4 linked regions of the Struthio camelus genome follow. The protein of the gene in region 3 interacts with the protein of the main gene of each other region in a biochemical or structural test. Links are inferred from orthologs where the notes say so. Each region holds a gene or a part of one and is shown on either strand. Other genes may lie near its edges. The genes, in order: PRKCA, SGK1, NHERF2 and TBC1D10A.

What was found.
Region 1: the proteins of NHERF2 (region 3) and PRKCA form a complex in vitro, tested with the Homo sapiens proteins (2 studies listed by BioGRID and IntAct, with this or other methods). The link is inferred for Struthio camelus from reciprocal best matches to the Homo sapiens genes NHERF2 and PRKCA.
Region 2: the proteins of NHERF2 (region 3) and SGK1 form a complex in vitro, tested with the Homo sapiens proteins (2 studies listed by BioGRID, with this or other methods). The link is inferred for Struthio camelus from reciprocal best matches to the Homo sapiens genes NHERF2 and SGK1.
Region 4: the proteins of NHERF2 (region 3) and TBC1D10A form a complex in vitro, tested with the Homo sapiens proteins (2 studies listed by IntAct, with this or other methods). The link is inferred for Struthio camelus from reciprocal best matches to the Homo sapiens genes NHERF2 and TBC1D10A.

Annotation. Positions count from the first base shown.
Region 1 is NC_090960.1:3,950,115-3,957,966, reverse strand, and holds the start of PRKCA (protein kinase C alpha type), read right to left. Parts: upstream 3,015-7,852; 5' UTR 2,799-3,014; coding exon 2,626-2,798; intron 1-2,625. UniProt on the Homo sapiens protein: Calcium-activated, phospholipid- and diacylglycerol (DAG)-dependent serine/threonine-protein kinase that is involved in positive and negative regulation of cell proliferation, apoptosis, differentiation, migration and adhesion, tumorigenesis, cardiac hypertrophy, angiogenesis, platelet function and inflammation, by directly phosphorylating targets such as RAF1, BCL2, CSPG4, TNNT2/CTNT, or activating signaling cascade involving MAPK1/3 (ERK1/2) and RAP1GAP.
Region 2 is NC_090944.1:72,810,341-72,817,369, forward strand, and holds the start of SGK1 (serine/threonine-protein kinase Sgk1), read right to left. Parts: upstream 3,012-7,029; 5' UTR 2,997-3,011; coding exon 2,928-2,996; intron 1-2,927. UniProt on the Homo sapiens protein: Serine/threonine-protein kinase which is involved in the regulation of a wide variety of ion channels, membrane transporters, cellular enzymes, transcription factors, neuronal excitability, cell growth, proliferation, survival, migration and apoptosis.
Region 3 is NC_090956.1:2,049,826-2,056,661, forward strand, and holds the start of NHERF2 (Na(+)/H(+) exchange regulatory cofactor NHE-RF2), read right to left. Parts: upstream 3,011-6,836; 5' UTR 2,914-3,010; coding exon 2,704-2,913; intron 1-2,703.
Region 4 is NC_090958.1:4,806,393-4,813,721, reverse strand, and holds the start of TBC1D10A (TBC1 domain family member 10A), read right to left. Parts: upstream 3,018-7,329; 5' UTR 3,009-3,017; coding exon 2,803-3,008; intron 1-2,802.

The sequences.
Region 1 (7,852 bases), on a different chromosome or scaffold from region 3:
ACAAACCTAAACCAACTATGTGTAGAAGCCAGCCAGTAGGCTGTACACACTTAAAAACATGAAATTGAATTATGGACTTTGTGGCAATGTAATAAACATTTATCCATTTTTCTTTTCTTTTTTTTTTGCTCTTTTTTAAAATAGAAAATGGACAAAATCTTTGGTACACAGTTAATTCAGATGAAAACTCACATTATACAACTTTGATTATTTTTGTAAACTTCTGCTCAAAAGTCTCTACCTACTGTCGTTATAAGTAGGTCTAAACTAACATATCCAAAATAAATATAAAACTGTTTGTTTACTCGGCAGCATATGTGACTATACCATAATGTTATTTTATTGTTCTCATGTCTTGTGTTCACAAAGGTAAAAAGCATGTACTGAAAGTGTGCAAATGAGAGCGTAAAACCACGAAAGCTGACAGCAGAACTAAGAACATGAAATAGGCTTTAGATAGTTTTCTGTCCTTTCAAATGGACTTATTTGTAAAGAACATCCCTCTAATATCTACTGAAAGCATAGCCATTGTTCAGCATTTGAGCTAAATTCATACACTAAGCAGCTGTGGTCTGGCTAGTCTATTCCATGCTCTAGTCAGTTGCAATGCATTTTGAGTAAAATATCTCAAAAAAAAGAAAAAAACCCACCACGTTTCAGAAATGAAGCAGATAAGTGAAAGTTGTTGAAGAAAATAAAGAGGTAGTAAATTATTTCGGTAAACATTACCCGGTCAAGTATAAGCTAAAAACAAAAAAGAAGCCTATTCGCACAGAGATTACAGTGTGTTGAAAGGCTGTATTTACTATTCTTTATACCTTACAAGGCATGCTAATAGCCACGCGTCGTTTTGAACATAGACATATCTTGAATAAGCATCTGAGGGAATAAAGAATGCTTCATCTAACTTCAAATGAGGAAATGAAACAAAAGTTTTGGAGCTGCCACATGCTGTTTTGAAGAATGTTAAGAGCTTCCTAGACTTACTAGCAAAAAAGAACAAAAGACTACAGCTACTCTTGCCACCTGTCAACTACAGGATATCCTTTCACTTTTAAATGCATCCTGTGATCAGGTGCCTTTTCTTATTACAGTATTTTGCCCTTTTTTTTTTTTTTAAATCGTGTTAGTCATCTGCACAAACATGGGCCGACAATAGCCCTGCAGCATTCTTTCACACCTCCCAATTCCCTGTTTCGGGATAATTTTGAAGCAGTTTCCAAAGGTCTCCCACTTTTACAATACCCAACTTTGTGACTACTTTCTTTCAAATAGAAAAACTTAAAAACAAAACAAAACACACGCTCTCAAAGAAGTTGGCTTGCTTCTCCTGCAGTCCACCCATCTCAGATTTCCTTCCTTTCCTTTCCTTCAAACCCTTTACTCTGCAAACGTATCTTAATCATTTCTGGAGCAGCCCCAGATTCTCCGGCCCGCAAACTGAGGAAAACACAAGGAGGTAGGCCAACGTCTGCACTCAGGGACATAAACACTTGTGACAAGACCAAGACACCTGCCCAAAAACACAGAGCCAGCTGGGCGCATCCCCCTCTGCTCTTTCTACAAAGTTGGCTAAAATGAACCGCCCGGTCTCAATTTTGGCAAGGAAACCTGCAAGGAAACCCTCGGCAACTTCAGGAGCAGAGCAACGCTGAAGACCAAGCCTCATCTCTTCCTAGGTAAGAGGAAAGGAAGCACAAGTTGTTTCTGTCGCGTGCTAGCTGAAGGCACAAAACATTCACCCGGACCCAAGGGCACACGCCTGCCCACCCGCCGGTGCTGCCTCACCTAGCCGAGGGCACGGGACATGTGTGAGCAGACTTCGCGCGCCCGCTCCCGCCACGGGAGAGGGAGGGTTTCAGACAGAGCTGAACCACGCAGAGACAAGCGCGCCGGAGCAGCAGCAGCGCGGCTGGGCCTGCAGCGGAGCCGCAATCCTGCCCAGGAGAGGGCACGGCGGGATCCCAGAGGCACGTTTTCTTCTCCCCACCCCCGAGAGCTCAGTAAGGAGGGTGTTGGGAGGAAGAGCCTCGCTCCCTTCCTCCCTAGCAAAAACCATTCTCTGGAGGAAAAAAAAAAAAAAAAGAAAAACAAAACCCCCAAAATAAGATCTCTTTCCTAAGCGCGAGGACCCAGCCGCAGTGCCACCGCGCGCTCCCAATCTTCCTGCCCTCCATTGGCAGCGAGAGGAAATAAACAGACAGCAAAGTTAAAGGCAGGGCTGCGAAGTTGTGCCAGGGAGCAGCGGCCGAGGGGGGGGGGAACCACACAGCACGGCGGGTCCCCCACCCCCCCCCCCACCCCGGGCCTGGCCCCAGCGGCGGGGCCGAGAGGGGCTGAAGGCGGGGCGGGTGATGAGCGGCTTCGCCTGCCGCGGCGGGCAGCCCGCCGGGAAGCGCCGCTGCCTGCCCCGGGCTCGGGACAACAGCGCCGAGCCCCCCCGGGGGGACTCACCTGCCCGACCCCGGGGGGAAACCGGCCCCTCCAGCGCGACGGCTGCGGAAGGAGGCAGCCGGCGGGGGGCGACGCAGGTGCTGGGGGCGAGCCCGGCGGGCCGGGGGGGGGGGGGGCGCGGCGGCAGGCCGCGGCGGGCCGGGGGGCGCGGGCCGCGGCGGGGCGTCTCACCAGATGAAGTCGGTGCAGTGGCTGCAGAAGGTGGGCTGCTTGAAGAAGCGCGCGATGAATTTGTGCTCCTTCACCTCGTGCACGTTCTTCTGCCTCAGGGCCCCCTTGCGAGCGAAGCGGCGCGCCGCGTCCGGGGCCGCGCCGGGCTCGGAGCCCGGGAACACGTCGGCCATAGCACCCTCCTCTCCACTCCCCTGCCGGCAGACGGGCCGCGCCGGGAGTCGCCGCCCCGACGTCCGCCCCGTCCGGCAGCCGCCGAGTCTCTGGCAACGGCGGCGCTGGGCGCTGCCTCCCGCTCCCGCGCCTGACGTCGGAGCGGCGCGTAGGGAGCGGGAGGAGGATCCCGGGCGCGGGCCCGCGCCGGCCGCTCCGCCCGCGAGGTGACCGAGCCCCCCAGGGGCGGGCGGGGCCGGCTCGGCTGCGGCCGCCGGGGCCGCCCCCCCCCCGGGGGGAGCGCGCGCACTGGGGTGGGGGGGTGGGTTGGGCTGGGCCGGGCCGGCAGCACCTGCTGCCTCTCGTCAGCCGGCCCCCGCCTCACACACACACCGCCTCACACACACACCGCCTCACACACACACCCGGACACACACACACACCCGGACACACACACCGCCTCACACACACACCCGGACACACACACCGCCTCACACACACACACTGCCTCACACACACCACCTCACACACACACCCGGACACACACACCGCCTCACACACACACACCGCCTCACACACACCACCTCACACACACACCACCTCACACACACACCCGGACACATGCACCCGGACACACGCACTGCCTCACACACGCACACCACCTCACACACACCACCTCACACACACACACAGACACACACACCGCCTCACACACACCACCTCGCGCACACACACGGACACACGCACCGCGCCACACCCACCCACCCACCTCATACACACACACCGCCACACACACACCGCCTCACACACACCGGGACACACGCACCACCTCACACACACCGGCCTCATACACACACACCACCTCACACACACCACCTCACACACACACACGGACACACACACTGCCTCACACACACCGCCTCACACACACACCCAGACACACACACTGCCTCACACACACAAACCGCCTCACACACGCACCGCCTCACACACACACACACACACCGCCTCACACACACACTGCCTCACACACACACACACACACGGCAGGCAGCACCCTTCACACATGCGCACACAGACACGGCAGCCAGCTCCCTTCACAGGCACATGGGTGCACACACACGACAGCCGTCTCCCTTGACACTCGCACACACACAGAAACGGCAGCTGGCTCCCTTCACACACACAGACACATGCGGCAAACAGCTCCCTTCACACACACACACACACACACACACACACACACACACACACACACACACACACACACACACACACACACACACACACACACACACACACACACACACAGCAACCAGCTCCCTTCTCTCTCTCTCTCTCTCTTTCTCTCTCTCTCTCACACACACACACACACACGGACGTGCGCGCACCCCCCCCCCCCCAGTACCTGACTCCCTTCTCTCTCTCTCTCACGCACACACACCTATACACACACACAATTTCCTCAGCCCTGGCCGTGGGAACTGCCACCCCGGGGGGCCCCAGCAGAGCCCCCAGCACAGGGCAGCTCTCCTGGGGCTGCACAGCCGCAGGCCGGGCACCCACCCCAGGGGCATCGCCGTGGGGTGCCCACACTGGAGGCACCACAATGGCACCCACTCCAGGGGCACCACCATGGGGTGCCCATGCCAGGCACACCACCATGCGGCGCCCACCCTGGGGGCATCGTGGTGGGGTGCCCACTCTGGGGGCATCGCCGTGGGGTGTCCGTGCCAGGGGCATCGCCATGGGGCGCCCACACCAGGGGCACCACCACGGTGCACCACTCCAAGCCACCCACTCCAGGGTGCCACCCAGGGGCACCCCGCACCCCACAGCCCTGCAGCAGCGGTCCCAGCCCAGCAGTGCGCGCTCGCGGCTGCCTTCCTTCCACCTTCGCTCGTCCCGGCGGCTGTTAGGTGCCACGTGCTGCCGCCATCCCCACCGGATGTGCGGTGAGCCCGGACCCAGCTGGTAGTGGCTACTTGCACAGCATGTGCTTCTGGCACCTGCCCAGGTATACGTTGCTGCACCACCACCGCAAACAAAGGTGTCACCCAGATGCTCTCCTTTCCCCTTCCTGCAACCCACAAACCCAACGGTGTGCATGCAAATGCTGTGCGAGGCCTTGCTAAACAAATGTACATTGCACAATACACACCAGATAGCACAACAAATACATGAGACGAGGGGCCTCGGTGTCTTGCCCCCGCTGCAATGTGCCATATATATTTAATTGATCATACGATATGAATATCCTCAACAAAAAAAGTAAACACACAGCAAGTCTTTTTCACTAATTAACGCATCCACCACATACGCAAAAGACTTCTACCATGTTTTCATGCAACATATTCCCAAGTGTTCTATAACATAACAAAACCATTCAACTTCTTTTATTCACATGACAAATAAAATGTTCACAGATCCCTGGACCTAGAAACATTGTCTGCATACAGCATGCAAACATCATCTCATACAGCCATTCATGCAGCGTCTCCATACATTCAGAAAAACACAGAGCATAAAGCACAGCTGTGCATACATCGAAACATGATACACGTGTTTCATAATTTCGTTTATAAATTTTATTCTCACAGCTACAAATTTTCACATATGTGGAATGGGTGCATAATAAAAGTTTCTCCACCACAATATATGTACATACTCATAAGTCTGCCTCTGTAGGCACATGCAATACATTTTGTTTCGCAAGAATGAAAGAAGGCTAATTAATTCAAATTAAGTCTTACTTGCTGATGGAAAAAACTGTGCACACGGACATTTACCACAGAGCAGAAATAACTTGTTACACATGTTATCTTGTACGTAATTCTAAATCCTGGGTTTCTGGATGCAGCCTGGCTGAACTGATATGTCTGTGGCATTTCATCAGACAACTCTTCCATAAAATGTTGGATTGAAATTTGGTACCCAACAATATCATTTATTTGCATCAGAACTCTGCGGTTCTTCTGAACTATCCCTTATCCCTGCTTTTTGTTATCGTTGTTTAGACTGTCACAACCCTGCAGAATCATTTTGTATTCCATTTTCTTTCCTGAGACCGTCTCTGGTCAAGATTCATTCGCTGCAGCACCTGCTAGTGTCTCAGCCTCCTGCTTCCAACACCTACTGATTATCCCAAGGAAAAGCCAAACCACACCAGTACTGACACCACAAGGTAACCTTAGGATCACTTTACTCTGCCTTTGTAAAGCAATCATTTTATCTCCTACCATAATAATGATTTTTACATTGTGAATAAACATATCAGGCAAGATAAAAAAATCCTTTATCTGTGCACAGCAAAATGCCCCCCAAAAGAGTTAAAACATAACTTTTCCTTATTGCACATAACATACAACTTCCCTTATTATTGTATTTTATATACATACCACTTAACACAGTGCGTACACAGCACTTACAGTGCTTTTTTCCCCATCTTGTAGATAGTATTTCAATTTGAAATTTCAAGATTAGTCACTTTGATCAGGATGCTCTTACAGTGACAGTATGGAGGGATACTACGGTCCATACCTACCAGATGCTTTTAGTATATGCTGTCCTAATAATCAGCATCCTCTTCCTGGGAGGCTTTTAATTGCCTGGACATTCATTTTTACTACTCTACATTCAAGCTCTGTGGGTGATACAGGAACTCATGCTCCTGCAAGTTATTGGAAGAAGTCTGCTATCTCTTCCTGAACGCACACATTCCCAGCAGCAACCCGTGCCTTGCTCTTGTGCTTCGGATAGTGTTTGCAATTTGTTTCTGATTCAGCCATCTGGATGAGGAGTCAGCATTATCGTTGTTTGTGTTCGGGCATATACGTGGTTATTAAATCAGAGTATCAGCTTTTCCAATCTCCTGGCAAGTAGCTCCAGAATTCCTGACTCCAAAGCATCATTTTATGGGGTCTTCTGGTAACAAATTTACTCCCATGTGAATATTTGGATAGTGCCCAACAGAGTTCATGTCTGCTGGAAGTTCCCATTGGAGGGTGTGCGAGTTTTTCTCTGAGCTCAGATTATTGCTGTAGTAAGCACAACTGTCTCAAGTCCTTTCTGCATTTGTGTCAATGCCTTCCTAGGTCTGCAGGTACAAGCATCTGTGTCCATTGTGAAAGAGGTTTCTAATTGCTTAGAGTCACTTTGCTGCCTATGAAATGGTTTCTCTCTTTACTCACCTGTTGGATCAGCTCAGCGCTGCGCTAGATCAACTCAAAGACAAAGCCAAGGAGAATTCTGTCTCCTTCTTTGGCAGTTGTAGCTCTCTATTTTGTTATTTCCTGATTGTAAGAAATATTCAGCAAACAGGGATCAGTTCCTGCTCTAAGACCTATAAGGAAGTTCACAACCTAATTTCTCCTGACATTTCAAAGCAAATCACAACCACTTCCTTTTCTAGAGAGTACCAGAACAAGTAGCTGTTTCCCTAACCCCTGTTAGGGAGTGAGTCAATCACTGCAAACCAGATGTCTACAAATTATTTGCTTCATCTGGTCTCATCTTTCAAAGGAATTTCCACACAGTCCGTTTATGAGACATTTCTGTTGGCGAGTATTGTGGAATTATTAACCATAATTGAATCAAAATCAGCTTCTCTGACTATCCAGACTTCAGAGTCAAATTTCAGAGGCAAGGTTTTCCAGATTTCTTTTTCGACACGTTTGTTTGTTTCTCTCTTTCTTTGAAATCAGTTATAGAGTTCAGTTTTTCACAAGTTTGATTGCTATGTCATGTCCAGCACAGATGAGAAAAGGTCCACTACTCCTATATATTTTCCAGATCCTATTACACATTCATCAGCAAAATCCTGTTTATTGTTCTCATCTGGATGCTTTGGCGACAACGAACCCTAAATGTTTCCAAAATTTGGAAATAGGTAGGATGTATTTGTGTGTGTGTTTGTATGTATGTGCGTGCTTGTATCTGTGTGGTAAGGAGGTAGAAATATTCTATATTTTTCTATATCAACACTGGTATCTGTATCTTTCTGTGTCTTTTTATATCTATATGCGTACATCTGGGTTTGTACATCTGTGCCTCTCTGTATCAACGTGATTCTCTT
Region 2 (7,029 bases), on a different chromosome or scaffold from region 3:
TATTTCTATCAATCAGATGTGTTGCCTTTTAATTTCAGCCTTTCCTTCCTAACCTCGGACCTCCGGACGTGATTAGCCCATACTCTGAATCATCTGACAAAGCAGGCAGCATCCCAGAGAGTCAGTGCTTTGTCATCAGAGAATAAACCAGGCTTTAAAAAAAATCTGGTTCTGAGATTCAAGTCAATGTTTGAATGCACTTTCAGCCTAGCCTAAATCCACAGAGCTCTGCCAGTCCTTTCTGCACTCTTGGCCAGAGCAACAAAGATGATTGCAATTTAAGGAAAACATAAGGCTCTATGGAAAACAAAAACAATGAAGATTAAGCTGGTTCTTTCTTCCAAACAAATCTAATCTAGTGGAAAAATAACATTCCCTGAAAACTGGGGTGTTCTAATCCAGATTGATGTGGATTTTTAGAATCAAACTAGAAATCATTTGTGCTAGAAATGTGAGCCTTTTTAGGAGACAAACACAGGGAATTTTAAGTTGAGAGACTGGGTTTCCATCCCCTGCTTCATCCTAGACATGGTGAGTGGTTTGGGGGAAGCCTATTCTGTACACACACAATGAATCTGCTTCTCTGGGTTTCAGTAACCTGTCAGGAAAATTAGGATAACAATATCTCATCCCCGAAATCATACCTATTAAGCTCCTCAGTGCAAGATCTGCCTCTCACTATTGATACAGGATGTGTCCAGCTGGTTGCTGGTGTTCGTTATGGTGCCCTGGTGTTGTTGTGAGGCAAATAGTCAAATAAATAACAATATCACACACTAGATTTGAATCAAGAAACCTCGTAGCTGTGCTTCTCTAGATGCAAGATTTTGGTGGTTGTTCAGATAGAGTGTCCAGAGCGTTGACAGGGAACCAAACGGATTATATTTAACAATCCTGTCCGATTCTTAAAGCAGTTAAATGCAGCATGTCACCAGTCCAGTAAATGCAAGATACATTACTGGAAGCTAGTAGCACATCTGGAATGTGTAGCTTTTCTTGCTTGTACACTTCGCAAGCACTGATGTAGGAACAATATGGTTAACATTTGGATACAGAGGATTTTCTAGGAAGAAGATAATGAGGGTAACTGAAATGTCAATGAACACATTTATCTATTGACAAAAATGCATACGGAGGGAATTTCCTACCTTTGTGTCTCTAAATTGATTTCACTGATTTCATTTATCTTCGTCACCATAGCAAAAATGCAATATCTGATAACAGAAAAATCCCCAGAAACTAAAAAATGACTATGTCTCCTGAACCACTGCACAGGACTGTCCTGATATGCTAGTTTATTCAAATATAATTACATTTGACAGCCTTTTCCAAAGAGAAAATCACTGATCATCAGCGTAGCTTTGACAAAAACAACTTTCCCAATTTTCTAGAACAAAGTGATGTGGAGCCTTCCTGTGATAACTTGTCTTAGCACTAAATGAGATAGAAAACTACTGCCAATAAACAACTTCATGCAGGAATTGCAAGTCATTTTGTTTCCTCTTTAAGAACAAATTTGTCTTTAAACCTCTGAGTAGTTTTGAAAATCAGATAAAGCTTTCTGGTGAGCTATGTATCAAAATTACAGGTACCAAAAGTAATATACTTAAATTAGAAGCTGCCTGGGTCAAGGACAGTATTTACAGTCTGAGTGTGAGTAGTGTCTGGGCTTCCACCTCTACCTGAAGCTTCCACCAGCCACCCCTGAAACAACAACAAATGTCAGCAAAGACCACATTTTTTTTCCTCTGATTGACCCTGCTTGTGTTTTACCAGGTCTGCCCTTAAATTTGGCATTTTGTTGGCCAGAAGGGGTTGACCCTGGCTTATAAATCTGCATTTGGTGTCAGCTTCACTTTCTTTGCCTGAAGGGTTAAATGGAGTGACCATATTCTTGGCGTAACACAGAGAGAGAATGAATGGGATAAATGAATGAATGAGTGAATGGAGCAGCTTATCTGCTCTTACTCCTGTCTGTTTAAAGAGAGGGCTGTCATTTTAATCATTCAGGAAATCCTTTCCATAGGGGAGTCCCTGCTACCAATCTCTTTAGGATGCTCTGCTTCTCTGTTCTGGTATCCAGGAATACCCAGGTGTATTCAGAATACCTGTCCTGCTGTCACATGGAAATGACTTTGTTGATTAAGTTAAATGGAGTGTGTTCAGCATCGTCACTGTAAAACGGTCAGAGAGCAGACTCAGCTAAGGTGTTGAGGCAGAGTGTTTCATGTATGCTTCCTTCTGGAAATCAGCAGTCAAATACAACATACAGCAAATTTTTTCCAAACCCTGACACATCTGTCTAAATTAAAGAACATAAAACAGAACCAAATCCAGGTGGACCTTACTCTCACTCTTTTCTCCTGCGTTAATTGTGATTACAGGCAAATTACAAGCTGTGAAATATTTTGCTGATCTCACAAATGCCTCTTTGTTCTGTGTGGTTTTTTTTTTTTTTCTCTGTGAGATGATGAATGGAGGTGGGTAGCGCTGCGCTTCTGGCAAGTGAATGAAAAGGTGTGGAGGAAGTCATACCCCTAGGTGGATGTGGAGGAGGGAGTGAGAGAGGGAGGCAAGCTGCAACAAACCCGCACTCTGATTTGGAGTGTATTATCCCAATCTGAATAGCTGGTCGTATTGCGTCAAGCCCTGTGGTCAGCTGTGATTGAGATACACGTTCCACAGCAAAGAGTGCTTACGTAATGCCGTTTGGTGCCTCTGCCCCGTCCCCCTCCCCAGGTCCCCTTCTCTTCTGAGATGCCGGTGCCCTTGGTGTTCGCCAGAACTGCCAGCTCAGGGGGCTCATTATCGGAGAAGATTGTTGTTAAAACACTCTCCTTCTTCAGTGACTTACTCTACTGTGGCACGTTAACAAGCAAACAAAAAAAAAAAGAAAATGGAAAGAAAGAATTAAAGGAAAACCTTACCCTTTTTTTAAAAAACTGAAAGGCTGAGCACTTCTTGACTGGAAATCCATTCATGTCTTTGTTGACCATTTTCCACAGTGAAGAGTACACAGTGATAGATCCAGTGTGGCACTTGCTTAATGCATCTGTTTTCCTCTGTATCCCTCCAGTTAATGAAGACAGAGTAGGACGGGAGGCTCACCGGCTCGGCTCAGGCAGCTATCCTTTACACATTCATTCTGCACCAGCTACTGCAGCAGCAGCAGCGAGCGGCAGCCTTTTCCAGCTTTCAGTTGCAGCAGGCTATTAGCTTCTTAAAAAACATCCCCTAAATGCACACACTCCTAAAAAAACCTTGTGACAGCTTTCAAATCACAGGCAGCAGATCTCAGGCTAAGCGAGTCTCACATAAAGGCAGATCCTTGCGTACGGTGGGTGCTACCGGTACCTCATGCTTTATATGCAGTCAGGCTAATGAGCTCAGTTTGCTGTTCTTCTTCAGGTGAGGTGATTCACCGCTGTTTGAGATGAGAGCTGGTTTTGATTGTGCAAATGCTGGTGGGAGCTGCAGTTCAGCAACAGCAGAGAGAGAGAGAGAGAGAGAAGGAGAGAGAGAGAAAGAGAGAGAGATAGAGAGAGAGATGCACAGGAAGAGCAGCAGAACACAAATAAGCGTACAAAGGATAGGAGGAAGGCTCAGGGAGAGAAGCGCTGAAAGGCAATATGTTTCCCTTGGGAGAGTGACAGGATAGCTCACATTTTATATTTGGACAGTTTTTGTGTAAAAAAAAAAGAGACCCAGGTCAGTTAAAAAATGTTTTTTTCTTAAGTTGTTCTCATCACAGTGATTTAGAATGTGGTACTTGGGAAAAAAAACCCATCCGATGACCAATGGATGGGTTATGTGACAGGGCATGTTGTAGACAGAGAAGCACTGGAGCTTCATTGTGAAGTTCAACGAGCTTAAAGGAAAACAATGGTTCCCATATAGGAAATTTGCCATATATGATGCAGATAAATGGAAAGCAAGAACATATAAACAAATCTATTCAGATATTTTCGCCCTTTTTCTGCCGAAGAAACATAGATGTACTACAACTCTCAAAACTCAAGGACTATCTAATTACAGAAAATTCAGGCTGAAAAGGATCTTGAGAGGACAAATTGTCTAACCTTCTGTCTTTTAAATTCTATTTAGGTATTTTTCACCAATCCCAGTGAATCTAATAACATGTGTTTAGCAAAAAAATAAAATATCATTTAATTAAGGTAAATTCTGCAGCAAGATCTTCATCACTTTTTCACTTCCTCTCATTCTACATCCCACATTAATAAACCTCAGTTTAAAAAAAGGACCTTATTTCTAAGATTGAACTGGCTTCCCGTTCTAGCCATTACTTGCTGTACAACCTTTCTCTATGGGACTAGTCAGCCCTGTAGTACAGAGAATCTAGCGCCTTTGAAAAAGCTGTTCTACTGTAAATCACTTACTTCTCAAGCATCTCTTCGGTAAGGTTAACAAACTGAGCCTTTTACCTTTTTTAGTGGAATGTATTTTCTCTAGTCCTTGAATATGCTCTATTATTCTTTCTTGTCCCTTCTGTCCTTTTTTCAAGATTCTTGAAATATAAGAACACTTAAGTTCTACATCCTGTGTCAGCACTGGTTTCTGCACTACCTCATGCTCAGGTGAAACACCTGCTGCTATAGTTAGGAGAACCCCCCTGGTCCTTCTGAGCTGTGCTTCTAGCTGAGACTCCATGTCAAGGTGCTTGTAGGCTGTAGCCTTTTTACAGACTCACTAGCATGAAGCCTGTGTTTCCCCTTTTTGTACCTCTAGTCTTCATTCTCTGTAAACACCTGAATTTGGCTACACTCTTATTAGAGCCAATTGGAATTTCTTGAGGAAAGAATTTTTTAGTAAGTGCTATGTCATTCAATCAAAAATCCTTTCCTTTCCTTTTTCCTTCCCCTTCCACTTTCCCTTCCTCTTCCCCTTCCCTCCTTTCTCTTTTCCTCTCCCTCTCCCTTTCCTCTCTTTTTCCCCTTCTTTTTTCAATGATAGCAGTTGCAGCTGTTTCAATAACACTTTTATAGAGGAATACTTCTTAGGTCCAGGAGAAAATCCTGGTCAAAACTGCAGGGTAAATGTACAACCCCATCACAGGTCAGAATGTTGAGTGTTCACTTAGGGAAATGCAAGTTCAAGGTCCAAGTCACACAAAAGACATAACTCTGAGTTTCCAAGTTTTAAAGGACTGGGCTGAAGAGCCAATATCTTGTCAGAATTGTTCCATTTTGTACAACTAATAAATATGCACTGGACCAAGGAGAGAGGGAAGTGTGGAATTTTCCACTCTGCCTCTCTATCTGAAGCTAATGGATTTTGCCAAGCAGCAGTTCAGCCCAGACTCCAAAAACTGCCCAGCTAAAGGCACGTTGAGGGATTTGCAGAAAATCTGAAATTCTCAGCATGTCTCAGTCAGGCCGCTCTGAACTTATCACCCTCCGCACCACCCTGAACACTAGCCATATTGGAAAAATCTCTCATTAATCCTTTCCTGTGCTTTAGAGCTGTCAAGTTTGTATTCTGGTGCTTATAGATAGAGAAGTAGATAACAGTGAGTGTCTAATTTTTTACCAGTGGCTATTCTCAGCACCACGTGCTTTGTCGGCTGATCTGATACGCAAGGAAACTATTCAAAAATGGCTTTCATTCAGGCTAACTAGGCTGCTTGCTGTGCACATACGTTTATTTTTGCGATCTTTGATCTATTCAGCCACAGCTTTGATCTGTCTCTCATCCTCTGTTATTTCTCCTGAGGGCTCAGCACTATCTTCTGTTTCACAAAGCATTTGTGTTGCCTCTACCTCCTCCATAAGATTTCCAGATGGCTGGCTGAGACGCTGTTCTCCTTCTAGCCTTTTAAACCTGGCATCCTGCGTACTGATGGTGGTGGCAACTGCCTCTGTGAAAATATTTCATCGGTCCTGGTGCCAGGGCCTTGGCCTCCAAAGCCTGATTGGAGGCATGCCTGTCAGGTCTTTTTGGTATTTATTTCTATTTGGGTTTTGGCCTATTTTTAGCTGGACAAAGTATGCAGTTAAGCTAAGCATATTTCTACCAGAGAAACAACTGTTTTCAAAGCAGCCTGGTAGTTTTAAAATACTGCAGAAGTTGTTTTTTGAGGCAGGTGCTATCCTGTGAGGGGAATGTGCTGGGACACTACCACTACATCATTTGGAGCCCTCTTGGCCTCTCCAATATAATGATATTTTGGTAAGAATCCTTCTCAGCTGTCATGCTTTTGGATCTGTGGTCTCAAAGGGTTTTATGTGCTAACTTTTTTTACCAAGGATATCAGAGGTGCGACTCAGTGGCTGCAAAGTTTACATTTAGCACAGGAGAGTAAAAGTCATAGAAAGGAGCAGAAGGGGTGCCACATACAACTGTTTTTACACCAGCAGATAAAGATTTAAAGCCAGAAAGATTTTCCTAAGAAAAACTATTCTGCTTCATTATGGTGCCAAAAGCATGGCTTCATAATTAAACCTGAAATAAGCATAAAACTCTATGTTCACTGCATTTAACTGCAATCAAAAGGCATTAAAAACTGAGTAGGAAAATAAAAATTTGAGCCAAGCAAGCCAATCGCTCAGCAGTGCTTTATTGTGACTGTCATGAAACACCAAAGGCTTTTGTCGACTTGGTGGCACGCCAAGGAACAAGGAACTAGTTTCTCCAGGAACAGGACTAGCTGAGTCTACCTGGTGCTTTCATCTCACCTCTGCCTTAGGCTAGTTCATCACACTTTCCTAAGCTACTGGTTGCTCCTGTAGCTGCCAGCATCTATCTTGAAAACCTATTGTCTGGACACCCCTCTTAAGATAACTCTCATGTATTTTTTATCCTTATACCACTCAAATGCAGCACTTTTTGCTCAGCTCCTATTTGTGTTTACCTCTGTGCTCCACTGTCACTCCCTGCTCTCGAGCACATGGACTGCAGGGTGCTCCTTATTAGCCAAGTTTTTGTCCAGCTCTTCACCCGTGCTTGTTCCTTGCTCTCCGGGTCACTAATAGGAATGGGAAAGTGAGTGATGCACTAATAGCCCCAACATAC
Region 3 (6,836 bases):
AGCAGGAGCTGGGCCCGTCCTTGCTACTCCCCAGCTCCCGGCTCGGCTGAATGGGGACCATTGTCCACGCACAGCCTCCGTTTTCTATGGTTTTTGTAGCTGGCAGATGCTCTGAAAGGGGCTCGCGGTGTCAGCCCAGCGCGGCGGGAAGGGGCGAGCCTGCGGTTCACGCACAGGGAAGCGAGAGCTTTCCCACCCTGCGAGTCGCTCCCTGCCCCGGCTCGCCCCGCGCACGAGGGGCAACAGCCCCAGAAGGGCTGGGAGGCAAAACCATGGGGCTGAGCCAGGGCAATGGGAATGGGGCAGGTTAAGGACATACATAGGAGCAGGGCAAAGGCCAGCGAAACCGCTGCCACGACTCCCTGCCAGCAGCCTCGGTGGAGAGGCTCCAACAGGCTGAACAGCACCTTCCTCCTGCAGGAGCCTTCATCCTGCAGAGGAGGAGGAGGAGAGGTGGCTGGGGGGACAGATGCTGGCCCCTGCATGGCACTCACTCCCCTCCCGCTCACCCACGGGGGGATCCCGGCATCAGCCGCCCCACGCAGGGGCTGTCCGACCTTCCTCGACAGGCAGAGCCTGCCGCGGATCCCAGACGAAACACAACCCCCTTCCTGCCAGCATCACAGCTTGTGGCGCGCGCATCCGCCCCAGCAAGCGGACCCCGGAGCCACGGCGCTCCGGGTGGCCCAGGACACCCCACAAAGCTGGGCTGCGTTTCCTTACAGGGCTCCTGCTCTGATCTAGGTCACGCCAGCCAGACACGTTACCATCGCCAAGGTTAGAAGTGACAAACGAGCCTAATGTGCAATTAGTTAGCAGTTATTTACTCCCCTGCATGCTCCGTTCAAGGTCAACAGACTCCGTATCTGCAAATGAAAAAACCAAGGCGAGATTTATAGGCCGCAGACAAGGCTGCTTGTCCTGAATAAACGACTGCACTGAATGCCGAAAACCATCTCCCTGCACCGTACCGGACGGCAGCTTGCCCAGGGCTCCCATCCATAACCGACCTGACGAGATGCTATTCCACCGAAGCCCAGAAAATCCATCTGCTCCTTTTCAGCTCCGTTTGCACACAGCAGCAGCCGCCTACGCTGCCGACAAGGGCCAGGCAACACCATTGCGAGGCCATTTCTCCTGCGAGGGAGCAGGCACGGGGCGGCAGGAGAGGTGCCACCAGGCAGCGCCTCGGGGGTGCACGCAGGAGAAAGGCAGCTGGGTGCTGCGCCACTGCGTCCCTCCCGCTCTGCCCCCAAACCATGCAGCTGGGTCCTCCAGGCGCTCATGCGGCAAAGTCACCAGCTGAGAACAGGGTCACACAGACCACGCCAGCTCCTGGAGGGAGCAGCTGACCCACTGCCAGCATGGGAACTCAAGGGTCAGGGATTTCGGATGCTGTCCCTGCATTGACCCCACTATGGGGAAGCTGAGCGCTGGGTAACGCCGTGCAAAGCCACGGCATGAAGCAAAGCGCTCTCCTGCTTGGAGACCCCCAGCTCAGTTGCTAGTGCTCCAGCCTGGCACGGCACGAACTGCTCTGCCAGCAGACGGTGCATCGGCACCAGGGCAGGGAGGCACCCACGGGTCCCCAAACGCTTTCCAACCCACTGCTGCCTCATGGCAGCAAACCCTGGAAGAGAGGGACCAGGCAAGCGCTGGCCAAGGCCTGGTGGGTGAGCTGCCGCTGAGCGGGGCACGGAGCAGTGCGGGCACACCAGCCACAAGTCGCTCCAAACCAGGTGCAGCAGGAGCGGCGCCAGCATCCTCGAGCCCAGCTCTGCTCCCGGCAGCACCGTTCCCGCACCTCCATCCGCACAGACTGTCACCCCAGACTGCACCAGCGGCACCAGCGTAACTGAGCCGGCCGGCGTCTTTCCACCCTTGCCAAACACCAGCTGCCTGGTGAGGCGGCTTCACCAGGCGCCGCTCCGTCGCTCGCTCTCGCACAGAGCGAGCCAGCAGCGTGCAACTCGCCCATCCGTGCAACGGCTCCCGGGGTGGACCGAGGGCTTCCCCCCAACCCTATCAGCACCGCGCACACCCCACAGTGGTGGAGATACTCAGACCCAGGAAGGGTTGGGCTTATCTGCAACCTCCACCTCTGCCGAGAGCACATCAGCCCCGTCGCTGCCAAAGCACGGCCCCGCGCGGCCGAGGGGCTGCAGCAGGAGGCCCGCGCTCCTCCGAGCCGAGGGACAGGCACCCCCGTCCGGCACTGCTCCTCCAGCAGGATGACAAGGACCAATGGCACCTCTGGAGCCCCTGGGGACCAAGCCCTCAGGCAAGGGCCGCTCCAGAGGCGCACAGCCCTGCTGCCCAGCAGGCCTCTGGGACAAGAGCCAAACACCCAGAAAACACATTCTGCTTTGGAAAAAAAAAAAAAGCAAAACAAAAAAAGGCAGAGCAAAGATGCAAATATCATCAGCTTCAGCCCAAAACAGCTGCACCAGAGCAGCAAGGCCTTGCCCACTCCAGGGTCCATCCCGGGGCAGCTCCGGGGGTGTCTGCAGGAGCAGCGCTTGCTCGAGGCCAGGAGGAGGAGGAGGAAGAGAGGCCCCAGCAGCTCCCCCAGCCCGGCCTTGGCCACGCTCGCCCCCGGCCGTCCCGGGGATGCTGCGGCAGCAGCTCCGGCCCGGGAGCAGGATGTTAACTAACTTAACGGGGCCCGCGCCGCCGCGGTCCGGGTCCGGGTCCGCTCCCCACCTGGTGGTGCGTCTCCTGCTCCACGTTGAGCCCGTTGACGGCGACGACGCGGTCGCCGGCGCGCAGCCCCGCCGCCTCGGCCGGCGAGCCCGGCTCCACCTTGCGGATGAACTGCCCGCTCTTGCCCTTCTCGCCGTGCAGGTGGAAGCCGTAGCCGCTCTCCCCCTTCAGCATGTGGCACAGCCGCGGCTTCAGCTGGTCCTTGGCCATGGCCGGGCGCGGAGCGGAGCGGGCGGCGGCGGCGGCCGCGCGGCCCTTTTATGTGCGGCGGCGGCGGCGGCGGCGGCGGCGGCGGCGGGCGCGGGGCGGTGGGCGCGGCTGGGGGCGGCCCTGCTGCGCGCTGCCCCGCCCCCAGCCCGGGGCGGGGCTAAGGCCAGGGGGCGGGGCTAAGAGTGGGGGCGGGGCTAAGACCCGGGGGCGGGACTAAACCTCGGGGGCGGGGCTCAGGGCTGGGGGCGAGGCGCGGCCACGCTGCGCGCTGCCCCGCGGAGCCGGGAGCGCAGCGCCGGGGCGGGGAGGGGGCGGGGCAACGGGATGGGGCGGGGCTAAAGGCAGGTATGGGGGCGGAAGGCTAAGGGACGGGGGCGGGGCTAAGTGCCAAGGCGGGGCTAAGGGGAGGGAGCGAGGCGCGGCCACGCTGCGCGCTGCCCCGCGGAGCCGGGAGCGCCGCGGAGGGGCGGGGGCGGGGCTGAGGGCGGAGACGGGGGCGGGGCCGGGCGAGCGACGAGGCGGGGGGGGCCGGGCCGGGCCGGGGTCGCGGGGCCGCCCGGGATGCCCGGGACACATGGCGGGGAGATGCCCGGGGTGCACGGAGCGGGGCCGCCCGGGATGCCCGGGGCGCACGGCGGGGAGATGCTCGGGGTGCACGGAGCAGGGCCGCCCGGGATGCCCGGGGCGCACGGTGGGGAGATGCTCGGGGTGCACGGAGCGGGGCCGCCCGGGGTGCCCGGGGCACACGGCGGGGAGATGCTCGGGGTGCACGGAGCGGGGCCGCCCGGGGTGCCCGGGGCGCACGGTGGGGAGATGCTCGGGGTGCACGGAGCGGGGCCGCCCGGGATGCCCGGGGCACACAGCGGGGAGATGCTCGGGGTGCACGGAGCAGGGCCGCCCGGGATGCCCGGGGCGCACGGTGGGGAGATGCTCGGGGTGCACGGAGCGGGGCCGCCCGGGATGCCCGGGGCACACAGCGGGGAGATGCTCGGGGTGCACGGAGCAGGGCCGCCCGGGATGCCCGGGGCGCACGGTGGGGAGATGCTCGGGGTGCACGGAGCGGGGCCGCCCGGGATGCCCGGGGCACATGGCGGGGAGATGCTCGGGGTGCACGGAGCGGGGCCACCCGGGGTGCCCGGGGCGCACGGCGGGGAGATGCTCGGGGTGCACGGAGCGGGGCCGCCCGGGGTGCCCGGGACACATGGCGGGGAGATGCTCGGGGTGCACGGAGCGGGGCCGCCCGGGATGCCCGGGGCACATGGCGGGGAGATGCTCGGGGTGCACGGAGCGGGGCCGCCCGGGATGCCCGGGGCACATGGCGGGGAGATGCTCGGGGTGCACGGAGCGGGGCCGCCCGGGATGCCCGAGGCACACAGCGGGGAGATGCTCGGGGTGCCCAGGACCCCATTTCTCTCCATGTCTCCGGAGTGGGAGAGGTTCCCACTAGGATCCTGGGCTCCTTGTCAACAGGGGCCGTGGCTAGATCTCCTCACCCAATACCTACATAGCTTCCACCGAACGCTTCGTGTCCTCCATACGCTCCGGCCGGGGCGGATGGCGTTCCTCAGCATGCGGGTCCAGCGTTTCGGTTGGAGATGCAGCGACAGGCCCTGCTATAGCCCGGACAGCCTCCTGCTCCGTCCCCAGCGCGCCTGACAGGCGCCGGCCGGGCTGCAGCATGGCGCGAGCTGGTGTTGGTGGGACGCACAGGTTCCCCTCCTCGCCCTTGTACGTCCCTGATCGGCGTTTCCTTGAAACCGCTCACAAGGCAGAAACGAGCCGGAGGAGAGGCGCTGCGCCGACCGGCCGGCCCAGCCGGAGCGGCTCGTCCTGCTCCTCTGTCACAGCGTGTCTAGCTTTACTCCGTGGCGCTGCTCCCTCCCCAGCTGCTCTCCAGGCAGATTTCTGTAGAGCTGAAGCAAATGCAACAGCCAACTTGAGGCTGCAAATAAAATACTCTAGAGATGAACGTTGATTTGCTTTTTAATTTGCGGTCTATTAAAAAAAAATATTTCCACTGAAGCTGTACATGAAGTAACTCTTGGTCTGAAAGATGTTTGAATCGAGAAGATGCTTGCTAAGTGTCTTAGAGGGAAGGTGCTGTCCTGGAGTGAATGGCATCACGTACCTCCGTCAAGAGTGACCAGCCAGATGCCCTGTGCTCCGTACGGACTTCGCACGTAAGGAGACGGCACAACAGCGGGTATCGCTGGGACCAGCGAGATGGTCACCGCGAGCGCTCGGTGGCCTTCGCTGAGGGCAATAGGACCACCAGGCAGGAGCGATTTCAGCGCCCGGCTGCGGGGTCAGCCCTGGCGCTGCCTCGCCGCCCCTTGCCGGGAGGTTTCGGCCGGGAGCGGAGGCGCCGGGGGAGGCCGCCGGCCGCCTCCGCCGGGCGACACGAACGGAGGCCAGAGAGCCGGGAAATGCGGCGATTATCGCCGTGTACCATGAGGACCCCCCGAGCTTCTCCGCGGAGTCGTGCAGCCTTTTTATCAGCCGAGGTGAGTGCGAATAATTGATTTTTCCGCTCACTGGGCAAACTGAAAAGCTGGAGGGAAGGGGAGAAGAGAAGGAATTGTTTCCAGTTTGTTTGAACGAAAACTTTTTTTCTTTTTATTCAGTGCAAAAACAAAAACCACAAGGGAGAAAATCTTTGGGGTGGTCAATCAGAACGGTTTTAACCCGTTTGAACAATTCTTTAAAAAAGTGTTGGTAACCTGCAAAATAAAAACATGGAAAAATACCATTCCAAAAACGTGAAAATGAAATTTTTGAATTTTCCTAAAATGCTTATTTTCTAAAGCAGAAGCTCTTTCTCAAGTCTTGTCTGAATTTGCTGCTTTCCCTTCTGTCCTTGTCATCCTCAAAAGGCATCTTTCCCCCCAGGAAACATCTATTAACGACAGAGAAATTAAGCAGGGCCAGCAGCCTGCTCGGTGCTGGGCGTCACCTGCCAGGCAAGAGGACGCAGCCCAGCCTTGCTGCCGGCTCTGCAAACTGCCCCGAGGAAGACTTGTGCGAGCCTTCCTCCCCGCGCGTTGCACTGCGCCCGTCAGCGGGGCAGCGTTTCCCAGGCTGCTCCCGCTCGGAGGCGCCCGACGCGCCGCGGGGTGACTCGCCCTCCCTCCTTGCTGCTCTAACCGCTCCTCCTCTGCGCGGCACGGGGACGACGCGGCCGAGCGCTGGTTCAGCCCGGCGGTTTTGCGCCTCTGCTTCCAAGCGTCGACGCGGTCTCCTGGGCTTTGCAAGCCGTGCTTTGGCATGGACGTGGCTTGACGAGACACGCTGTGTTTTGCGCTGCGGTCGATGGGAAAGCATCCAGTGTCATGTACGGGAGCTGGGAAGAATGTGGAAATATGTTGTGCGAATATGCATCCTCGCGCAGCACAAAACCCCTTTAATTCGCGAGAAGAGCTTGCCGTTTCCTAAGCAGCGTCGGCTGGACTCTGCAGCCGCGCAGAGAAAAAGCAGAGAGCCCATCAGGGCTTCTGCACTTACCGATATACCAGAGTCATGATTAGATTCAACAGATACTGCAGAAGTGAGGGGTGTTTTTTCCATTTAGATTTCTATGCGTTTTGATTTGGGCAAATATTTAAGTCTTAATGGGGCTAACTTGAAAGCTGAGGAAGTTTCCCGGCTCTGCATGCTTATTGGCTTGGAAGAATGTGCAGCTCTCTTCATTTGACATCTGCTCCAAAGCAAACAGGTTCATTTATAATTCATTCACTGCACTTTATTAAGCACTTACATAGAATTACACCTGTACGCCGACCGCTGCTTGCTCTAGGCCTGACAATATTCCCTAGCTAATGCAAAATACATACGCTGTGCAAAGTTTCACAATTACAGAAAGTGGGCTTGACCGGCAGCCTCCCTGCGGGGGAGAGGCCGGGATTTTTAAAGTTTGCACAGCAAAG
Region 4 (7,329 bases), on a different chromosome or scaffold from region 3:
TAGAGCAACCGCAGGAGAAAGCCATTGGGAGGAACTCGAACACAAGTGACAGCCCGCATCTGTTGGGACGACAGCGGGGACATCCTCCTGTGCTCTCGTCCGCAGAGAGGGCACCCGAGTAACGGGGCTGCCACCACGGCGCCTTCAGAAGCGCCCCGAGAGGTGACGGTTCGTTCAGAGGGGCACGTGCAAGCCAGCTGCCTCCGGCTACAGTCACTGTGGGCAGGAGAGCTCCTCCATCCAGGAAAGAGCCTCCCACTTTATGCAGTGCCGAGCGCATGAATGAATTAACCGAGAATGATCCCGACAGGCAGATGAGGGATTTGACACCCACCGAGAGAGCAAAGCACCTTGCCCAGCAGCCGAGCAATCAACATTTCAGCAGCTTTTCTCCCTAGACACCAGTACTGGGGGAGCAGAGTTAGCACCCACAGGCTCCTGGCTTACGAAGGCTTCCCACACTCAGGAGGGATGCACGCTTTGCTCCTCATAGATGGAGAAACTGAGGCATGCGGCCCAATCGACATCAGAGCAGGCGAGCGGGGACAAGAGCTCAGACATGTCAGTGCGCAGCCCCGGCACCCCTCTGACCTTCGGGGAACTTCACAGACGCGCTAAGAATACGCGCACCGGGTGAGGGGGGGGGGGTAAACAGCTAGGTCCTGCTGGCTGGGGGCCAGGCCAGATCAGCTGTCACGCCGGCCCCGCATCGGCCACAAGGGCGTCCAGGAGCGTCCTGCGAGGTGCAAATCGCAGGGGAGCCAGTCCTAGGTAAGGCCACAGCTAGAGAGGATCAAGCTGCCACCTTGGCCACCTGCCCAAGCAAGGTCTGATCCCTCGCTTCTCTGGGTGTCGCTGCAAAAACATCATCGCCAGGAAGAAAAACATGCCGCCAAACCAGCTCCCCAGGACCTGGGGCGGCCGGGGCACATTCCAGCGCGCCTCGCAACCAGCGCCACCCAGCTCCGCGGCGGAGTCTGGTGCTGCGGGACAAGCCACGGGGCCAGCACGGCCACTAGCCCTCCTGCCTCCCAGCTGGCTGCCAGCAAGCCTGGCGCTGCTCTGCTCAGAGCTGACTTCAGCAGCCTCGCTTCCTCCCACCATCAGCTGCGCGGGGCTCGGGGAGGGCGGGAGCCCTTCTGGAGGCTCCTCCGATGGCTTCCTCTGCAAACGGAGATCAGCCGCCTTCCCCTCCTCGCCATGGCCCCTCCAGTAACTGCTTGCTTTTCCAGCGGCTACAGATGTTCCCGACCAGCCTACGAGTTCCCCTCGCAGGAAGCCAGCACCCAGGAGAGCCAAACAACGGCACGGCCTCCCCCTGTCAGACGACGGCCAAAAATACGCAGGAATCCAGCGCCTGGACGAGAACAGGCCTCAAGGTAACCAGACACTGACATCACCGAGTGGAAGGGGAGCGAGCAGGCCTTGGCGTTACTTACGGCGCTCAGCAATTCCTCCCTCACGCCTCCCCCCGCCCAAGGCGAGCGCTGCTTTCTAGCCTCTCCTTGAAACTGCTCCAGCCCCCTGCGTGTTTCCCTTCTTCTCTCCTCCCAGTCAGCCGGCAGGGGACACGGGAGAAGCTGGAACAGCGTTAGGGGCTCTCCCAACTTCCCCTGCTGCCTTTTTTCCCGTTGCAACTCCCGTTGCTGCTCTGGTGCAGCAGGAAAGCCGTCCACGTGGACCCAGAGCGTCGCTCCTCCAGCCTCACGCTCCGCTGTGGGCGCAAGCAACGCCGCAGGACGTCCCAGCTCCGAGCAGCGGAGAGCCCACAGACAGTCGCCGGCGCCAGAGCGCAGGAGGCTGGGGAAAGGCAGAGGACCCTGCACCGTCCTGCTTCTGTGACTCCCCCAAGAAAATTTAAACAATTTACAGCACGAGGCAGGAACACTGCCCAGCAAGCTTCGGTCACTTCGAGCGACGTCAGAACGTCGGCAGGAGCAGCCTAAACAGAGGCGCTGGGGACAAACAACAGCTCTAGATCACCCTATCCTGGTGCATTCCAAGATTCACACTTTGTAGGCTCAACATAGCCCAAAATTCACTTCTCTCCGGCCACAGGGACTGTTTTGTTTTCACTATGGTGCCACCGAGCCAAAGCTGGCCTTGGAGCATCGGTGTTTTGCAAGCCAGCTTTGAGACGGGTCTGCGTGGGATGCTGGGCTGGCTGACAGCTGAACTCTGGATTCCTCGAGGTGCAGCACTTCCCCGGCACCCCCAGCCGCCTCGCTGCAGGCAGCGGTTTCGGGGAGCCGGCTGACGCCGCCGGGCAGGGACGCGGTGCAGCACGCCAGGGAGGCGTCACGCACCGCTCTCCTCCCGGGCGCTGCTTGCCAGCCTCGCGCGCTAAGAGCCGATACGAGAGTCACGAAAAAAAGCAGCCCGAGGTTTATTGCGGGTCGTCCACCCTGCTGACAGGGTTTTACCCCAGGCACGGGGGGAGGTTCCCCCCGGCCCCGCGGAGCCCAGGCGCGGGAGCCCGGCCACCGAGCAGAGCCGGAGCGCGTGAAACAGGGCCCAGAGGCGAAGGCAGTCGGCGGCTGCGGGGAACGCGACCCCCGGCGGAGGCCGCCCGGCCCCGAGCGCGGCGGGGAAGGCGCCAGCGCGGGCCCGGGGCAGGCAGGCAGGCCGCTGCCGGGCCGGGCCGGGGCAGCGGGGCAGGACTCGCCGCCCGCTCCCCGGCGGCCGGGGCCGGGCCGGGCGCCCCGCAGGCCGCGGGGGCCGGAGGCGCCGCCGAGCCCCGGGCGGCCCCGCGGCTCCAGGCCCGCCCGCTCCCCGCGGAGCCGCCCCCGCCCCGGCACTCACGGCCCCTCGGCGCTGCGGCTGCCCACGATGAAGCCGAACTTGTCGACGCGCCGCTCCTCGGGGCCGCCGCCGTTGACCTCGGAGTCGGAGCCGAGGGAGCTGAGCTCGTCGCCGCCCGGCTCGGCCGCCAGGCTCTCGCGGGTGCCGGCCAGGCCGCGGCGGCTGCCGGGCGAGCCGGGCCCGCCGCCCCCGCGGCTCTTGGCCATGGCGCTGCGGCGGCGGCGCGGCCGCTCCCCCGCGCCGCCCGGCCCGGCCACGGCGGCGGCTCGGCCCGGCCCGCCCCCGCCGCCGCCACGGCCCAACCGCGCGCCGCCACGCCCCTGCCCCGCCGGCCCATTGGGCGCCGCGCGGGGGCGGGGCCGGGCCTCCCCCTCTCGCCAACCGGCGGCCGCGGGGAGAGGCCGGGCCGGCTCACGCCGGGCGGTGATTGGGCGAGCCGCCGGGCGGGAGCTGTCCGTCAGCGTGAGAGACGCCGTCAGTCAGCGCGGGGGCGGGGGCTGCGCCGCCGCCATCGGGGCCCAGCGCGGCGGCCGCGCCGGAAGCGCCGGCCGAGGGGCCCCGAGGCGCCGCTCTGGCCCGGCGGGCCGGCAGCCCCGGCCCCTGTTGGGCGGCGCCGCGCGGGCAGGAGCCGCCGAGACTCAAAAAGGCTCGTCTGCCTTTTCCCTCGCTGTGCAGGGAAGCTGCCGCCGCCGCCGCCCGGCCCACGGCAGTCTGGTCTCGGGCCACGCAGGAGCGCCGGCCCGCTCCGCCTCCCCCACGCCGCGGGAGGGAAGCACATGGGCCACGGCAGCACCGCAGCCCGCAACGTGGAAACGGCCGGGAGGGAAGCGCCCCGTTGTTTTTGAAGTTGGGGCGGCTCCAGTGCCCGCTGGCAGCTCCCATTTCCTCCTCCGGTTGTGCTGTGGCCGGCGAGGCAACGCATCTGCCTCTTCTGCTTTGATTTCAGCTGCTTTTGCAGACGCGTGGGGTTGTCTTGGTGCTGAAGAGCCAGCGAGGGAACGGGCCGCACCGTAGTCCCTCTCTCTCTGACCCTGCAGTGGATTTCCTGCCCCTCCAGCCCCCAAAGGAGCCTATTTCACATCCTCCTGGAGCTCCAGCAGCTCTTTCTGGGCAGCGTCCGCCCCGAGGCTCACCTCTGCCCCGGGCCCAGCCAGGCACCGAGGGCTCCATGGGGCAGCGCAGGCGCCCTCAGCTTCGGGACCATTTCACAAGATCATTTCAGAGGGGAGCAGCTCTGCAGCCCAGGCTGTCAGATGGCAAAGCCATCACAGAAGCGCCAGCTGGTGACAGAAGACTTAAAGAAGCCATCAATTTAGTCTCCACCACCTGTGTGATCTTCTGCCTCTCCTCATGCTCTCCTAGGGCACCAGATACAACCAGCAACTCCTCATCTGCTATGGTCAGGCTTCAGTGGCAAGTCATATAGACACAGAGAGCTGTTTCACATTATCAGAGCTCAAGCTGTGAGAGTCGGTCTGGTTGTAGGGCTGGGTACTGCAGTTAAAAGGCAACAGGCTCACAAAAAACATACTTTAAAAGGAAACTACACGTGCGTTTGCCTTTAAAAGCATGCTGTAGTTGTGATTTCCAGCACACAACCACAAACTGTCCCCCAGCTTGGCCTACACCAGTGCAGCGTAAAACAGACCTGCCCATTTCTCTAGAGAAACCCTTTTGGTTACCTCTCCTCCGCTCTGCTCCCACGAGATCAACCTTTGCATCAAGCCTTGAAAAATCTCTCATATTACAACTGCAGCTTGTACCAGGACTCCCTGGAGAGGGAGGGGAGGAAGCAGGGTACCAGGCACACAACAGCTCAACTGCCAGCAGGGCAACACCGCGAGCAGGGTCACCAGCAGAAGCATCTCCCTCACATCTCAGCTGGACAGCAGGAGTGAACCGGCAGCCAGTGAAGCCCACAGATCCCAGGTCTCTGCAAACGAGCTGCCGCTATCTGCGAGTCTCTTAGTGGCCTGAAGCACAAACCCAAGGAGCACGCTGAAATCTAGCGGAGCTTTCTCGTCTCTACCTCACACAAGTAAAACTCCTCCGGCTAGTCACAAGGATCTAGCAGGGCCCAGCACAAAGCAGACTTCAGTGTCAGCACTGGGTCTTTCGTCCAGTACAGGTCAAAATGGATGCAACTTTCCACTGGCAGTTTTGCAGCGAGGAGGCAGCCTTAGAGCTCCTTCCCTGTGTCCAGACCCTTATCACCCTCTGATAAAATTATGACCCCATGCTGAAGGCTAAACTTATTGTGGCAGTAACACAAAGCATGACTTTCTCCCACGAACAGCAAAGCAGAGGGGCTTTAATAGAGTCAAGACCCCTCACAAACCTGCAAGACATCAAGTCCGAAGGGCCAAGGAGACTGATAGGTTAATTCAGGTGCTGGCTTTATGGGCCTATTTTCAGATTTTTTTCAGGCAGTCTAAGCTTTGCAGATCCACCCCACTGAAGTGGAAGGCCCTGATAATAGTTGTTTTGTACTGGATACACACACACGCAGTCTTGTTTTAACATTCATCTGCAATATTTAGATAGAAACGGGCTGGCTGTTGGCAAGTCTCCACGCAAGTTATTTCTAGTGCTCTCACTTGGAGGCCAGTGCAGGAAGTTCTCCTGCAGGAATGCTGGGCTGGGCACTCGGCCCCGTGCAGGATGTAGTCAGACGCTTGTAGAAGTAGCCTGACTTTGTTGAAGACCGAGCACGTCACCTAAGCACCAGCACAGCGTTCATCCAGAGACACCTAGGAAATAAATGTCTGATAAGGGAGCGCAGATGATGCTCCTTGCATCAAGCACTATGGCAGTTCATACTGCATGGGTGCAGCCCAGAACAACAGCTGGATGACCTTAAATGCAGCCCCATCACGCTTGGTGTCTTACACAGGATGTAGAAACATCACTTCTCCATTTCAGAGCTCTCTCTTCCTTGCAGAGCTGATCAGCTCTGGAAAACACCACTTGCTAGCTAGCTATGCACATGCTGTTTTAGCAAACTGCTGCCTCCACTGCAATGACTCCAAGCTATGCCACCGAGTGTTGTTGTCTCCAGGAGATTGTACCTAACTATTGTCTAGTTTTTACAAGCCAAAAGTAATTAGCACGCCTTCCTGCAGGGCAGGAGCACCTCTGTATCCACAATACACCCAAACACCCTGCCCACAGCTGCAAGAAGCTGTTAATTCAATATCCTACAGCACCAGAGCAGGCTGCGCTTTTGTGACTAAGCGCTGTGCTGTTCTCAGACACGTGGGCATCCGACACCGGCATCTGTCAAAAACAGCAGCTGGCTTCCATGAGCTGGGAGGACCGCCAGCCACCTGGGTTGGGCCTGGGCCAAACACCTTTCCCACACCACTATGATTTCCTCTCTCCCACCTACCCTCAAAGATGAGGGCACAAAGGGGACTGTAGGATGTTGTCCTGTGTAGGATGTTGAATCTCTCTCTCTCTCTCCTAAGCACAAAATAACAGGATGTTAAAAGCTAATGTCTATACCCCAAAAATCATAGCTTTGGATTATCCTAAAAGGAGAGCAGAGGTACTAGAGTCACGTGGCCGCTGCTGGGCAACAACAGACAACAGCATTTTCCTTGACCACTTATTTACACATAGATTTTAATGGCTATTTTTTGTTTCACCATGTTCTGTGTTATGTTTGCATCAAACCGTGACACAGCTATGACTGACGGTACAAAAATAATCTATTTTTAGAAGCTAATGCTCTCCGTGACCAAGAGATGATAGAAGCACAAAGTATGTAATGCATTTTACAAGGAAATTCTCACTAGTTAGATTTAAATTCAGAATAATCTGTCACCTCATACATGGACATAAACAGCAATTATATATACACCTGTATTACAATATGGGAATAACTGTGTAGTCTTAGAGAAGTTTAACAAAAACCCTTTCTTACAGCTTTTCCTATGAAGGAAAAGCTTTTTCTATAAGCCAACTACAAAAAAAAAATTCCCCACAACGCATCTAAAATTTGAACACTTTAAAGCCAGGCACATTTCAATCTTTAAAAAAAAAAAAACAAAAAACATAAAACCCAAGGAACTAGAGTTGTTATAGACAGAATCCCACACTAAGATGGGTGTTTATTAAAACAAATCACAGACTGTACAGAATAATCATGAAGTTGTTTAGCATGCACAGTCCCAGATCATCTTTATCATGACGAATGGCAGTGTGCACTCATACTGAGGGAGGATAAAATTCCAAGTCAGGGTCAGTGCAAGAGACTCTTGCAGATAGGTCAGAGACAGAGAAAGAATAAGGAGTGTATTAAGTATATCGAGAAGAAAGTTTTCAATTAGAAAAAGATTAAATGAAGTGGCAAACACTGTAGTCAGATGATATTCTTGATCAGTATAAACCCCTTCTACAAACAAAGATGGAGCTAATCTAAGCTGGGCATGGCCTCAATGCCACTTCATTAGGGAATTCAATGGACAGATAGCAAAAGCGGACACCAGCATTCTAGCAAAGCATTGATCACTAAAAGCCTGCTGC